Arabidopsis thaliana: one gene and its partner. The protein of the gene in region 1 interacts with the protein of each later gene in a pairwise test. Each region holds a gene or a part of one and is shown on either strand. Other genes may lie near its edges.

Evidence for each region. The genes of interacting proteins can lie anywhere in the genome.
Region 2: the proteins of AT5G45360 (region 1) and AT5G42190 interact in a two-hybrid assay, tested with the Arabidopsis thaliana proteins (2 studies listed by BioGRID).

What each region holds. Positions count from the first base shown.
Region 1 is NC_003076.8:18,383,263-18,390,625, forward strand, and holds AT5G45360 (F-box family protein), read right to left. Parts: upstream 3,610-7,363; 5' UTR 3,409-3,609; coding exon 3,346-3,408; intron 3,029-3,345; coding exon 2,825-3,028; intron 2,743-2,824; coding exon 2,669-2,742; intron 2,556-2,668; coding exon 2,480-2,555; intron 2,330-2,479; coding exon 2,219-2,329; intron 2,135-2,218; coding exon 1,960-2,134; intron 1,877-1,959; coding exon 1,700-1,876; intron 1,592-1,699; coding exon 1,521-1,591; 3' UTR 1,227-1,520; downstream 1-1,226. Other genes in the region: UMAMIT1 (nodulin MtN21 /EamA-like transporter family protein), read left to right, coding at 5,149-5,363, 5,625-5,687, 5,774-5,890, 5,982-6,423, 6,597-6,748, 6,864-7,020.
Region 2 is NC_003076.8:16,854,142-16,859,622, forward strand, and holds AT5G42190 (E3 ubiquitin ligase SCF complex subunit SKP1/ASK1 family protein), read right to left. Parts: upstream 1,601-5,481; 5' UTR 1,376-1,600; coding exon 1,034-1,375; intron 528-1,033; coding exon 354-527; 3' UTR 50-353; downstream 1-49.

The DNA of each region.
Region 1 (7,363 bases):
AATCAAATTGCATACACCAAGCTTTAAACATCAAGCAGACACAATATAAATGAGATCAATCAATAACACATGACAGGTAAATCAAAGAACTCGAATTTAAGATCCTAAGCATAAGAAAGTTCTATACTTTATCACTCACCTCGAGAGAGCCAAACGAATGTGAACAATTAAAACCCAATTCGCTAAATAAAAAACCTCAATTCATATTTTTGTTTTGTTAAAATCGTAAATATACCCATACACATGGAGCAAAACAAACAAAAAAATCAAAAATTTCTAGGTTTTCAGCAGATCGAATCAAGAGAGAAGACAAGCTTAAAGAACACAGATCAGAAGAGCGAATCGCTGATCAAAAATTAACGATCTAAAAGAAAAAAAGATGAGTTTTTTTTTACCTTAGACGAATCGCGAAATATGTCGAAACGAAATTGGAAGAGAAAAAAATAAGACCTTATAGGTATTTATACATGTTTCTTACGCGGTACGATTTCCAAAAAAGATATATTTTTATTTTTAGTCCTTATATTTTACTATGAATCACAGGCTACACTTACGTTGTCATAATTAACAATGCTATCCAAATTTTCAGCACGAAGGACGACACATGTAACACTACCAATGTTTTGCTTATAGATTGAATATTTTCATGAATTGTTTGTTGTATTTTTTCAAATTTGGAACGGTTTTTAATTTCTCGTGGGGGTGTTTATGAAATATATTAAACTGTGGGGGCAAAGGAGAGAATTATGAGAATATTTTCCAACGTAAATATTTTAGCGTTGCGAGAACGCGCAATGGACGCGTGATTCTGTTTACGTAGGAGATAAGAATGTCTTTTAATTTGCACTTTCGCAAGAGAATCGAATCCAAAAAATTCTTATTAACATTAATTGAATTAGTACATATTTGATTTTAGGCAATGTCACATTGCCAATGTGTATTAATGAATTTATTTAATAATAATTTCATTTTTCTAGTTTTGCTTATGCTTATCTCACTAAATACTAAAATTTTCTAAATCCATTCATACTTTATACTTATCTATAAAATCAAACATTTATTAAGATTATCAATTCATTTTTCATTCAAACACATCAGTGGTGATAATTGATGTATAGTTATTAGAATATATTGCTATAAACTTCATTTTGAACTAATCATCGATTTGTCATCATAATCAGTTCTAACCAGGACAAATTTGTAATATGGTTTAAATGAACAAAGAATGGCTATAAAAATTAATGAGAAAACCAATATCGGGAGCAAATTACTAGTTACCAATAGGTTTACTGATAAAGTTGGAACGTAATTACTAGGTGTAACACTTTTTAAGGACAATGTTAATCACATACAATGATATATATGTATACGTTACAAAGCTGACTGATTAAAACAAGAGCTACATTTGATTCATTTCAACTCCACAGAACCCAGGCAGAATCAGGTCAGAGAGAGAGAGAGAGAGAAGACCTTACAGAAAGTAGGCCTTATGAAATTGGACAAAAGGTCGAGACTTTTGCTCAGCAGAACCTCAGGGTACGTTCCAGTTCCTGCTCATCATCGCAGTTGTAGCCAAGTTCAAAAGCTCGGGCTGCGATGAAAAGAAGACGCAAATAGTTCACTTATGTTGGAAAATAAAAATAATATTTGGAAAAGGAAGTGTGTGAGAGATATGAGAAAGAGATAGATAGATGTGTACCTAATCGGCTTTTATCTGTGAATACTTCAGCTTCTAGTTCAGCTTCTTCCTCATAACACCCATCTGCGTCTGGCTCAGTTTGTACAAGTAAAGTATCAGAACAAACTCCTGAGATAGTACACACCATGAGGTCACCCTCTGGACTCAGTATTACTTCCTTGCAGTTATCATCGCATACTGTTATAAAGACCATAAAAACTATGTAAGTTTAGAGTAAAACACAGTAACAAAGTTACATTTTACAGCATTTCATTACATACCATGAACATTTCCCGTCTCTTTGCATATGAACACGTCGTCAATCTGATGGTATGAACATTTGGTTCCCAAACAAATATGGCCAGTGACAGCCTTATCAGTAAGTCCTTTGCTTTTCTTCCATAGAGAAACTTGTTCAAGTACAGTATTGTCAAGAATTATCCGGTCATCCACCATCTAAAAATTGCAAACAAGAACATGAGAAAATTCTTCACGTGATGATTTGTCCTAAAACATAAACAGATAATTATAAATAGTTACCTGGGACGGAAGAGGTGCTTGGCTTCTCTTTGCTGCTTGCATATGTACGTAATACTCCTTGAAATCCGACGGACAGGTTCTGACAAGTTCAATCATGTCCTGTTCATCACGCTAAAATTCGACAAGAGAAAGGAATCACTTAAAAATATATATGATCTGACTTCTACTAGCAACGCAAACTAACACTGTATATTCTTCAGCAATGTAATACTACTTGGAAACATCTAACAAGTTTATACGAAAAACCAAGGAGAAACTCACATCAATATAAAGCTTCTTCCAAGCAGATTCACGTAACTTTCTACTTGGAAGAGTTAGACCCCACCGGATACAGTACCTGCATATAAACAAAAAACAACCAATAAGATCATCACATCGTTTTTGAATACAAAGTATTGATTTTGAAAACAAGATTATCAACGACAATAAGGGGTACAAGAAGAGGCTTACAGGCGACGCCATAAGGATTCATCAGCCGCAGCAAAATTGAGAAATTTACAAACCAAGGAGCATGATACAAGATCCTGTAATGACATTCAAACAATTTAGTTTAAAAGCAATCCTCAAACATCAATAAAGTTCGAGTTTGAACTATATAGTATATACCTCCGAAGATAAGAACTTGAGAATATGACGAAACAGCTCAGTAGGAACATTGGTGAAAACTCCACTCTCTATTCTCTTTGCATCAGTTTTATCTTTGTTACCATTTTCCTTTTGATCTTCATCCTTCTCTAGAGCCTTTGTTTCGCCTTTCTCAATACGTTGCCGTTTTGCCTCAGGTTCTTTCGTTTCTTCTTTATCCTCTACCTACAAAAACCAAAGCATCAATAAATAATCTAACCTTTCACAGGACAACGCTGAACAAGAGCAAAATCACAATGGACATCAATCGAAGAACATGAACAAAAATTATGTGATTTTTCAAAAATTTCAAATGTATGCATATAAGATCAAATTTACAGATCAAGGAACTGAAGTTATCAAAAATGAAAAAAAAAACTAGGGGAACGGGAAAATCTCGACAGAATTTCAGATTCAGCTACAAAATTCAAAGATTGATGGAGAAGAAATTACTAAACCCTAAATGAAATCGAAAATTTGAATAAACGGAGAAATTTTTATACCGATGAGACTTCTGATTCGAGGAATCGAGCGAAACACTCATCTTCCTCATCGGAAACAGACATACTTTTCAGTCGGTGAAGATCAAAGCTCCGACGACGATGGTTGCGTTTATGCGGCCAAGGAAAGGATTGGAGAGAGACAAGACTCGAGAGGGTTGGCGTTTGGAATCGGTGGCGTGAGATTGGAGACGACCTCGGGCCGAATAATTTTGATAAATGGGCTAATAACCTAAATGGGCCATATATTAATAAATAAGCCCATAACACTAACCCTCCTCCTTGTCGTTAGCGTCATTAATACAAATTAGCTTTCTAAACGTGATTAAATAACAACATTTTTCTGAATTATTATTACGAGTTAACGACGTTCGAACTACTACTATAATTAAATTTTCTTAAAACAGAACATTTGTTATTGGATCAGCAACTACTTTTTAAGGAGTTTTTTCATTTAAGGAAATGTTATATTACTAGATCCACTAATCGACATAAATAAAGGCATATTTTACCAACTTCAGTATTACACTGTAAAAATTAGGCCTGGAAGTTCGGCATAACCCGTTTAAACCGAACCGAACAAACCGACGATTTCGGTTTTCGGTTTCAAACCGATTTTCTGTTGTAAATCGTTCGGTAGAATTTTAAATTGATTTCGGTTTTCGGGTTTTTCGGTTCGGTTCATCAAAACCGATCGGTTTTGTTCGGATTGGGGAGATACCTTTTAAAACAGAAAAATCCTAGATCTATCACTTCATCTTCTTTGTTTTCTAAACTCTCCTCTTCACGAACACCTTTATTTCTCCTCATCTCTAACCCATTTTTATCTTTTAACCTTCTAATTCTTCCTTATTCCTCCTTCTTCTCCTTGTCTTCGTTCTTCTTCTCCACCTTTTAGGTTCGCAGAAATATTCTATTAAGCCACCGCGACATCGATCTTCTCTGGCAATGATTTCATGGTTCTCTACATCTTTTCTCACCACCGCACAATACAAATCTATTTTCTCTGTTTTCAATGTTCTTCTTCTTCATCTCACCCTTGTTTTTCTTTGACGGCCGTCATTTCCAAAAAATAAAACAAAACAAAACCCTAGATGGGTGTGATGGGCTTTTCTTGTCCCTGGAAAAAAAGAATTTGGGTTTTGAAAAGTTAAAAACCGTCATGGGCTTTTTGACTTTACTTGTCCCTCAAAAAAAAAGTTTTGGGTTTTTAAATGTCAAAAGCCGATATGGGCTTTAAAAACAGCCCACTATGCCTAATATTGTGATCTAAACTGATTAGGTTAACCGATTAAAAAAAATTCGGTTTAATTTCGGCGAATTATAAATCCTAGTAACCGAACCGAAAAAACCGAGTACCGAACCGAACCGAACCGAATTTTTGTTCGGTTCAATTCGGCAGAATTTTTGAAAACCGAAAAACCCGGAAAACCGAACAAACCGAACCGTTTAACCCGAGTAAACCGAATTTTTATATTACACCATTTTTTGTGGAAAATTTTCATATTTTTTAAGTAGGATATATGAGCATATTTAACAAATGTGTTAATCTGTTAGGCTTCAATGTGTATAAGATTTAAGAAAATAATCTGGCAAATTTTTTTTTGCCTCAACTTAACAAAAAATCATAGTTAACAAATTGAAGAAGACCAACGACTACAATGACCAGAGAAGTTTTTTTTTTTTTTGGAACGAAAAAACAGAGAAGTTAGAATTACAATTTACAGAGCAAATCAAAGGATCTCAATTTCTTTAGTCAACAGGTGTTCCTTCTCTTCTTCCTCGATTCGGAGGTAGAGAAGAAAAATGGCAGCTCCGGCGATCCTAAACGGCGGCGATGCGACGGAGAGAGAAACACGAATGGCTCACTCTGCAATGACATTGGTTCAGGTCATAAATGGAGGATACCATGTGGTTACGAAAGTAGCTCTTAACGTTGGTGTAAATCAGCTCGTTTTTTGTGTCTTTCGCGATCTTCTTGCTCTCTCCATTCTCGCACCTCTCGCTTTTTTCCGTGAAAGGTCCCTTTTTATCTTCTTCTCAAAATCTCTCTGTTTCTTTATCCTTTTGCTTGAATTGCTAAAGTCTCTGAAGTCTCTGTTTCTGATTGTTTTGATGAGTTTATATGCGGCAAAATCAGACAAATAGTTTGATCTCTCTGGAATTGGAATTAGGGTTGTTTTTCTTTGTTAATTCTGGTTCTATTGTTTAATGATGGATTGCAATTTTGTGTGACTTGGATTTGTCTTTTGATAAAGATTTGCTCTTTTAATTTCTTGTAGAACGATCAGACCTCCTATGAATAGAAGCATCTTCTTTTCACTCTTCTTTCTTGGTTTAGCAGGGTAAAGTAATCAGCTTGTATCTCTTTATCTTTTGAATCATGCTAATGAAAGATTCTAATAACAACATTCAATCTCAATCTTGATAGGATATTTGGGAACCAGTTACTATTTCTTATGGGTTTATCTTACACGAATCCAACTTATGCTGCTGCTATACAACCATCAATCCCTGTCTTTACATTTCTCTTGGCTGTCTTGATGGGGTGAGTATGAGTTTCCTCAACATTACTGTAAAATGTGAAAATTTGTAATATAAAGTTTCAATCTTTTGATGGTCTTCTTCTTTGTATACAGTACAGAAAAAGTGAACTTGTTGAAAGTCGAGGGCCAAACGAAAGTTGGAGGTACTCTTGTTTGTGTTTCGGGTGCTATAGCGATGGCTTTGTTTCGTGGTCCAGCCTTGTTTGGAGGTAAAGATGCAGCAGATTCAGTGAAAAGTGTAATTATTGATAGAAGTCAACCAGAGCTTAATGGGTGGTTAGTCTCTAGTTTTCTTGGTCTTGGGTTTGATCAATGGCACATTGGAGTTTTATGTTTGATTGGAAACTGTATGTGTATGGCTGCTTTTCTCGCTGTCCAAGCACCGGTTTTGAAGAAGTATCCTGCCTACCTTTCGGTTGCTGCGTATTCATACTTCTTCGGTGCATCAATAATGATCACAACAGCTATCTTGTTTGTTAGAGAGCCTAAAGATTGGAGCTTAACACAATCTGAGGTTCTTGCTGTTATATTCGCAGTAAGTTTTCACAACCGAGATGTAATATGTTTATTTGGGTGTGTTTGTGTTTTGGAGCTTGAGCTCAAATCATTTGAACTTGAACTCAAAAAGATTGGAACTCGATTCTGTACATACGGATTCATCTTACTAGTTTGTGTTTAATTGTTTTCTTTTCGGTTTTTATTCCTCAGGGAGTGTTTGCCTCAGCTCTAAACTATGGACTCTTGACTTGGTCCAATAAAATTCTTGGAGCTGCTTTGGTTTCCCTATACAATCCTCTTCAGCCTGCAACATCGGCCTTTTTATCGACAATTTTCCTCGGCAGCCCGATCTATCTTGGAAGGTTTTTAAATTTTATGCACTCTTCTTTGTATCTTTGATTCATCCAGACACATACAAACCTTTCTGTCTTCTTGTATTGGATCATATAAACACCTTGGTTTTTGTTCTCTCCGCAGCGTTTTGGGTGGAATCCTCATCATTTGCGGGCTTTATATGGTTACTTGGGCATCTTACAGAGAGCAACAAACAACATCAGCTGGGAATGAGATTGCTTCTTCTAGTGATGTAAGAATCTCGGAACCTTTCATTTACAGAGATGAGACTGGTAAATAAATAAGAAAAGGTAAAGAAAGGATACTTGTACCGTTGTACGTAGTTAATATCAGACAAAAACTTGACAAATCATACAATTTTTTCGAGTTCAAACATTGATTCTTTAAACGGTAAATAATTCAAAATAATTACTTCGCCTCTTTTTTGGTAATGCAAGTTCAACTATGGAAACAAATCTCTATTTTTATTTTAAGAATTGGTTGTTTCAATACGTTTTTTAGTTGGGTGACAAAGAAGCGTATATTTTAAATTCAATCTTAGATAAAAGGAATCAAGAACACTTAAAAAGTCATTGTACCTAAAGACAAGCACGATTAACAAAAAGGAAAACATTATATATGTC
Region 2 (5,481 bases), 1.5 Mb from region 1:
TCAGAATTATCTATCAATCTCTCGTGTGTGCTTGTATAGGCATTTATTTACAAGTAATAAGATCTTTTCTCTTTCTAAGAACATGCAGACAAATCTTATCACTTGTGTTCACAACCTATCTAAATGATTGACGAAACAATAGAAGACCAACACTCTCTTTTGAGCAACAACTTCAATATGTTTCGTAGTTAAGTCTTTAATTTGACATACATAACATAACATTAACATCCGACCCACTGTCTTAGCTGGACCATCACGTAGAAGAGAATGGATATATAGTCAAAGAAAGAAGATAAGACAGGGAGACACAAATGGGTCGAGGACATGACAGCAACCTAGGTCTTCATTTTTCTTCATTCAAACGCCCACTGATTCTCACGGCGAACCTCTTCTTCTTCCTCTGGCGTGAAGTCGTTCTTGATATTGAACGTCTTACGGATTTCTTCTGGGGTTTTTCCTTTAATCATATCAGCCACTGTCTGGCAAGTCAAGTCCAACAGTCCCTTGATATTCAAGTAGTTAGCAGCCTAAAAGGTGTCACAGGGAAACCAACTTAGATTCAAGCTCTTCAACTTTCAGATAAAAATGGAACTTTATTGTTCAAGCAAATCAAACATATTGAACTACGATTCCAAAGAAAATAAACTTTATCACTCGTTTCAGACAGAACAAAACATGTCATGTTAGCATCCAAAAGGTTTCTCAGAAAAACAAATCTAGATTCAAGCAAATCCCAAAGAAATTAAACATTATCCAATGTTTAAGACAGAACATAAAAAACATGAGTTTGGATGTAAAGTGGTCTTCAGCTATAAACAAATCCAACAAACTCAAAAGAAATCTCTTGACACTTTTTTCTCTATCAGACCATATATTTCAATCAGACATGATCATAGTTTAAACTGTGAAATTGGCAATCTAAACAAAACCTGAACCCTAAAATTAGATCTCAAACAGAAATCAAGATCTCAAACCCTAGAAATGAAATCGCAAACTTTGAAAACCAAAGCAATTAAAAATAAGTTTGACAAACCAGGATAAGATCGAAGAGAGTGCCCTGATCAACTTTGATAAACTCAGAATCCCAAGTCTTGAGATCTTCATCACTAGAACCCGACGCGACGGTGGTGGTAGTAGTAGCAGCAGCAGCATCGGCCGTGGTTTCGGATTTCTCAGCAGCTTCGACATGTCTCTTACAGTACTCAATCACCTTCGAAAGGATCTTGCTTGTGACATTAGGGAGAGGGATACCATTATCGGTACAGTCATCTTCAATCATATGTTTGATGGTTTGTGACTCTAGCGCCACCGCTTCGTCAATTTCGAAGTTTTCGCCATCCGAACTCTTAAGAGTGATTTTTCTCACCGTCGACATTGGTTTTTGCTGAGTTTAGAGACGACGTGGAGGCTGAGGAAGAGAATCGTGGAACAGAGAGATGTGTGTATGGGTTAAATCAAAATGTTTTTAAAGCCCGGCTCACACATTGAACCAGTGAGATCTAACGATTCCCAATTGACTTTTTTTACCTATAAATTTTCATTTTAAAACATTTTCTCTGTTTTTTTCTTTCAAAGGAAAACACCTGAAAATTAATTCAACTCTTTTCATCAACTTTTGATTAATCAGTAGTTGAACAGATACTAAACTCCTCTATTTGTAGGATGGTGTGTATAATTTAATTGGATTCATGTGATTTGATTTCCGGTAATATTTTTCTTTGAACATCTTTGCAAATAAAGAGTTAAGAATCATAATCAATTGCGGCAGTTGTTTTGCTAATTAAGTTGTATTAAAATCATCCACATTCTAGAAACCAAGTCCACCGTTACGACAAAACTTATTTATTTTTTATTTTATTTTTCTTATTTTTTTTTAATTTTAAATTTCCATTAAAACAAACAACAAGTTATAAGACAAGTGTCCAAACATAAGCACACAGGCTCGAAAACATACACATCCAAAAGCTCAAATCCAAGGCGCGCAGGCCCGACAACAAGAGCAAAGCCCAAAACAACCAAAGAAGCTGAAACTTAAAAATAGCAGGCCCAAAAACCAAAAGAACGAAGAGGGAACGACCCAAGGACTCAAAAAACTCATAAGGAAACCTGAACCGCAGAGGAGGACCTAACTGAAGAGACGGAACCAAGTAGCAAGCAGAGAGGCACCCGGAGGAGGAGAGGGAGAGCAGAGAGGCACTATGACAAAATTTATCTCATGCCTTCCACTGTAAACGTTTTGTTCGTCCATTGGAACTCTACCAAAATTTCGTTACTACATTCCTAAGTTTTGATGTTACTGATTTTGGTAATCTAAAACAAGACAATACATAAGTAAGCAATGCATCTGGTACTGATTTAATCAATACTTCTTTGCCATCTTTAGATAAGAATTTTGTAAACCAACCATTTATTCTATTATGTAAATATTTTCTAAAAGAGTAAATTTTTTTTGTCTTAGATCCTCCTAAACTTTTCGATAATCTCAAGTAGTTGTTCATGTCCCCTATATTAGTGATTTCGAAGATTGCCATAAGTTTGTCCATCATCGAGTTGTCAACTCATGACCAAAAACCTCTTCATAGTTCTTTAGTATTCCAAATCCAATGACGCATTGTTTTTTTTGTCGTTTTACAAAAAAGAAGCTATCATCCACGAACATAAGTGAAATATTGAGGGATTCGCTTGTAAAAATTTCATCCCCGCTAAAATCTTATCTTATTAAATAAAGTGAGAAAAATCTAACTTGCGTTATCTAAATTTTCACCAAAGCATAATCGGCCATTATCCTAGTAAAAAATATGGGCCAATAAAAAATATATTTAGATTCACCCCTTTATTCACCTTTTTATTCCATTAAATTAGAATTTATACCTAATAAATAAATTAAATTTATTTTATTATAAAATCTAATTTGCCACAAGAACAAAATTTTATATAGTTTTGGGTTTATAAGAAAGGATTGAAGTTTAGATTTTACTATTAAATATCGATTTGAGTTATAAACAGTTTTAGATTTTATAACTAAACGAGATTGAACGTCTGTTTGGTTTTATAAATGGATTTAGATTTTATAATTAAACAATGTTAAATATCGGTTTGGGTTTAGAAAGAACGGTTAGAGATTTAGAGTTTGCAATTAAAAGAGTTTAAATATCGAATTGGGTGTACAAAGAAGAACTAGGGTTAGATTTTATAATTAAACGAGATTACATTTTGGTTTGAATTTTTTAAAAAGTGGTTAGAATTTAATTTTTTTTTACTTTTTATTTAGAATTTAGATTTTTTATTTATAATTAAATAAGTTTTTTTAACTTTTTATTAGGTAGTATATTCTGATTGGCTGAAATAAAAAAATTAGGATTTAGATTTTATAATTAGACTAAATTATATATGAGTTTGAGTTTATAAAAAAATGATTATGATTTAAATTTTATAATTAAATGAGTTTAAATTTCTTTTATTAAATAACGAATTCAGATTGGTTAAAAACTTAAGATAAGAGGAAATAAATAAAAAGATTTACCTAATAAGTGAACCCAAATATTGTTCACTAGACCGTAAACATGGATTTTCTCAGCTATGCTGAAGGAGTCAAGACAAGACCAGGTCTGAATAACTGAATACATGGTCAATTTTATAGCAGTCAATTTTTTTTCTCGAAAAAATCAGTTGTTGCAATTTTTTAGTACCGTCGATTATTTTATACATAATCAGCTCTAGAGATTTTATGCATTGATGCTTCTGTAATTATACTTTTTAATTTAATTTCTGTTGTATATTTTGAATGTAGAAAAGATTCTAGAAACGAAAATAAAAACATTTTAGTAATAAATTAATGTAAATAATATAAAAAATACATAATGTAAATTAATATTGTTCTTTATATTAATGTAAATTAATGTAAACCAGTCTAGTAAATATAGCGCCTATTTAATTGAAATTTATTTGTTAGAAAATAAATAACTACTTTAACGCATTATCTTCAAGTGCTATCTTCTTTAACTTTTTAGTGGATTGGACTTCTCCGTCGCCTCTAATTCCTAGAACATGATTGCTATTATTTTATACAGCTCTCAAACTAAAGTACTTTTTGTAAGCATAGAAGAAGAAAATACTTTTAGTCTCAAAGTAAGGTAAAGAGAAATTTTGAAATTCCATTTCACCGGTCACAGAAAAGCAAATAAATCAACGACCCTAGCTTTGAAATTCCATTTTACCGGCCCAAAACACAAATGGCCATACAACCGCAAACATTGTATAATACGATAGCTCATGATTTCTTCATTAATAATTAAAAGAAACAGAATTTATAATTTTGTTGGAAAAAAGTTAAGCAGGTTAAATTAATAATTAGCATTGCTTTTTCAGAACTTAAATGTCGAGAAAAGTGTTGTGCCATGTTGTTCTATATTCTGTTGGCTAATTTATTTTCTTCCAAAATGAAAGAGCTTCAATAGTAGTATTATAGAGCTTTTATGTTGCTCTATTTTCTGAGGTTCTTAATGATATTTTTTCTGCTTTGTATTCTTCTGTATGGACTAATTAAGATTCTGAGTAGTAGTCTAAGTAAAAACATATTTTCATATAAAGGTTGTATGAAACTGGTGTAGAAATGTGTTTCGTGTGAATCCAACGTACGTAATATGAACAAACACGTGACAGATAGGAAAACATTAAAAGGGTGTTTTACCAAGACATTATGACGTTCAAGTAATTAAATAACGAAACCACAAGAATTGATTGAACACCATAAAAAAATGTGGGTTTTATAAAATCCTAGTTTTGTTTTACATAACGTCACATGCACTAGGACACCACCTATCATGTACATTGTATGGCTCTCATCATACTAGTCAGACATATAAGTACATCTTTAAGTACAAGAGTTTGCCCTGATTAACTCAACACCTATATCGCTGTCTATTTAACTGGTAAATTTTGCTTGGACTAGGCTTAATACCATTTACAATTACAGATTCAAAAAAAGAAAAAAATAAATAAATTCATATAAAAATTAGTCGAAACAAAAACCAAATGATGTTAACAAAAACGAAATGAACACTATTGTTAACAGAATCCGGCATACTCAGCTTCATAAACAAAGCTTTAATCTTCTTTAACTTTGAAACCAAAAATTATATTACCATTAAAAATGTATATCCGACTGTACTGATCACCACCACTTTTATCATCAACAAATCTCTCATCTTTTACTTCTCGAAAATAATGGTGAGCTTTATTATATTCTATTTCAGATTCCTAAAAGTCCGCTTAAAACCTTTAATATTGTTAGACTCTTGTTTCATATTAATTATAGGATGTTTTAGTTAAAAATACATATTTTAAGATTTTATTTTCTAACTATCATTGACTCCATAGAAATTTAGGGAGTAAAATTTAGTTTTAAAATTTTTAACCAATGATAATAAAATATTAAATGCATTGAAAAGTTGCATAGAAATTTGTAAAACATCTTTTATT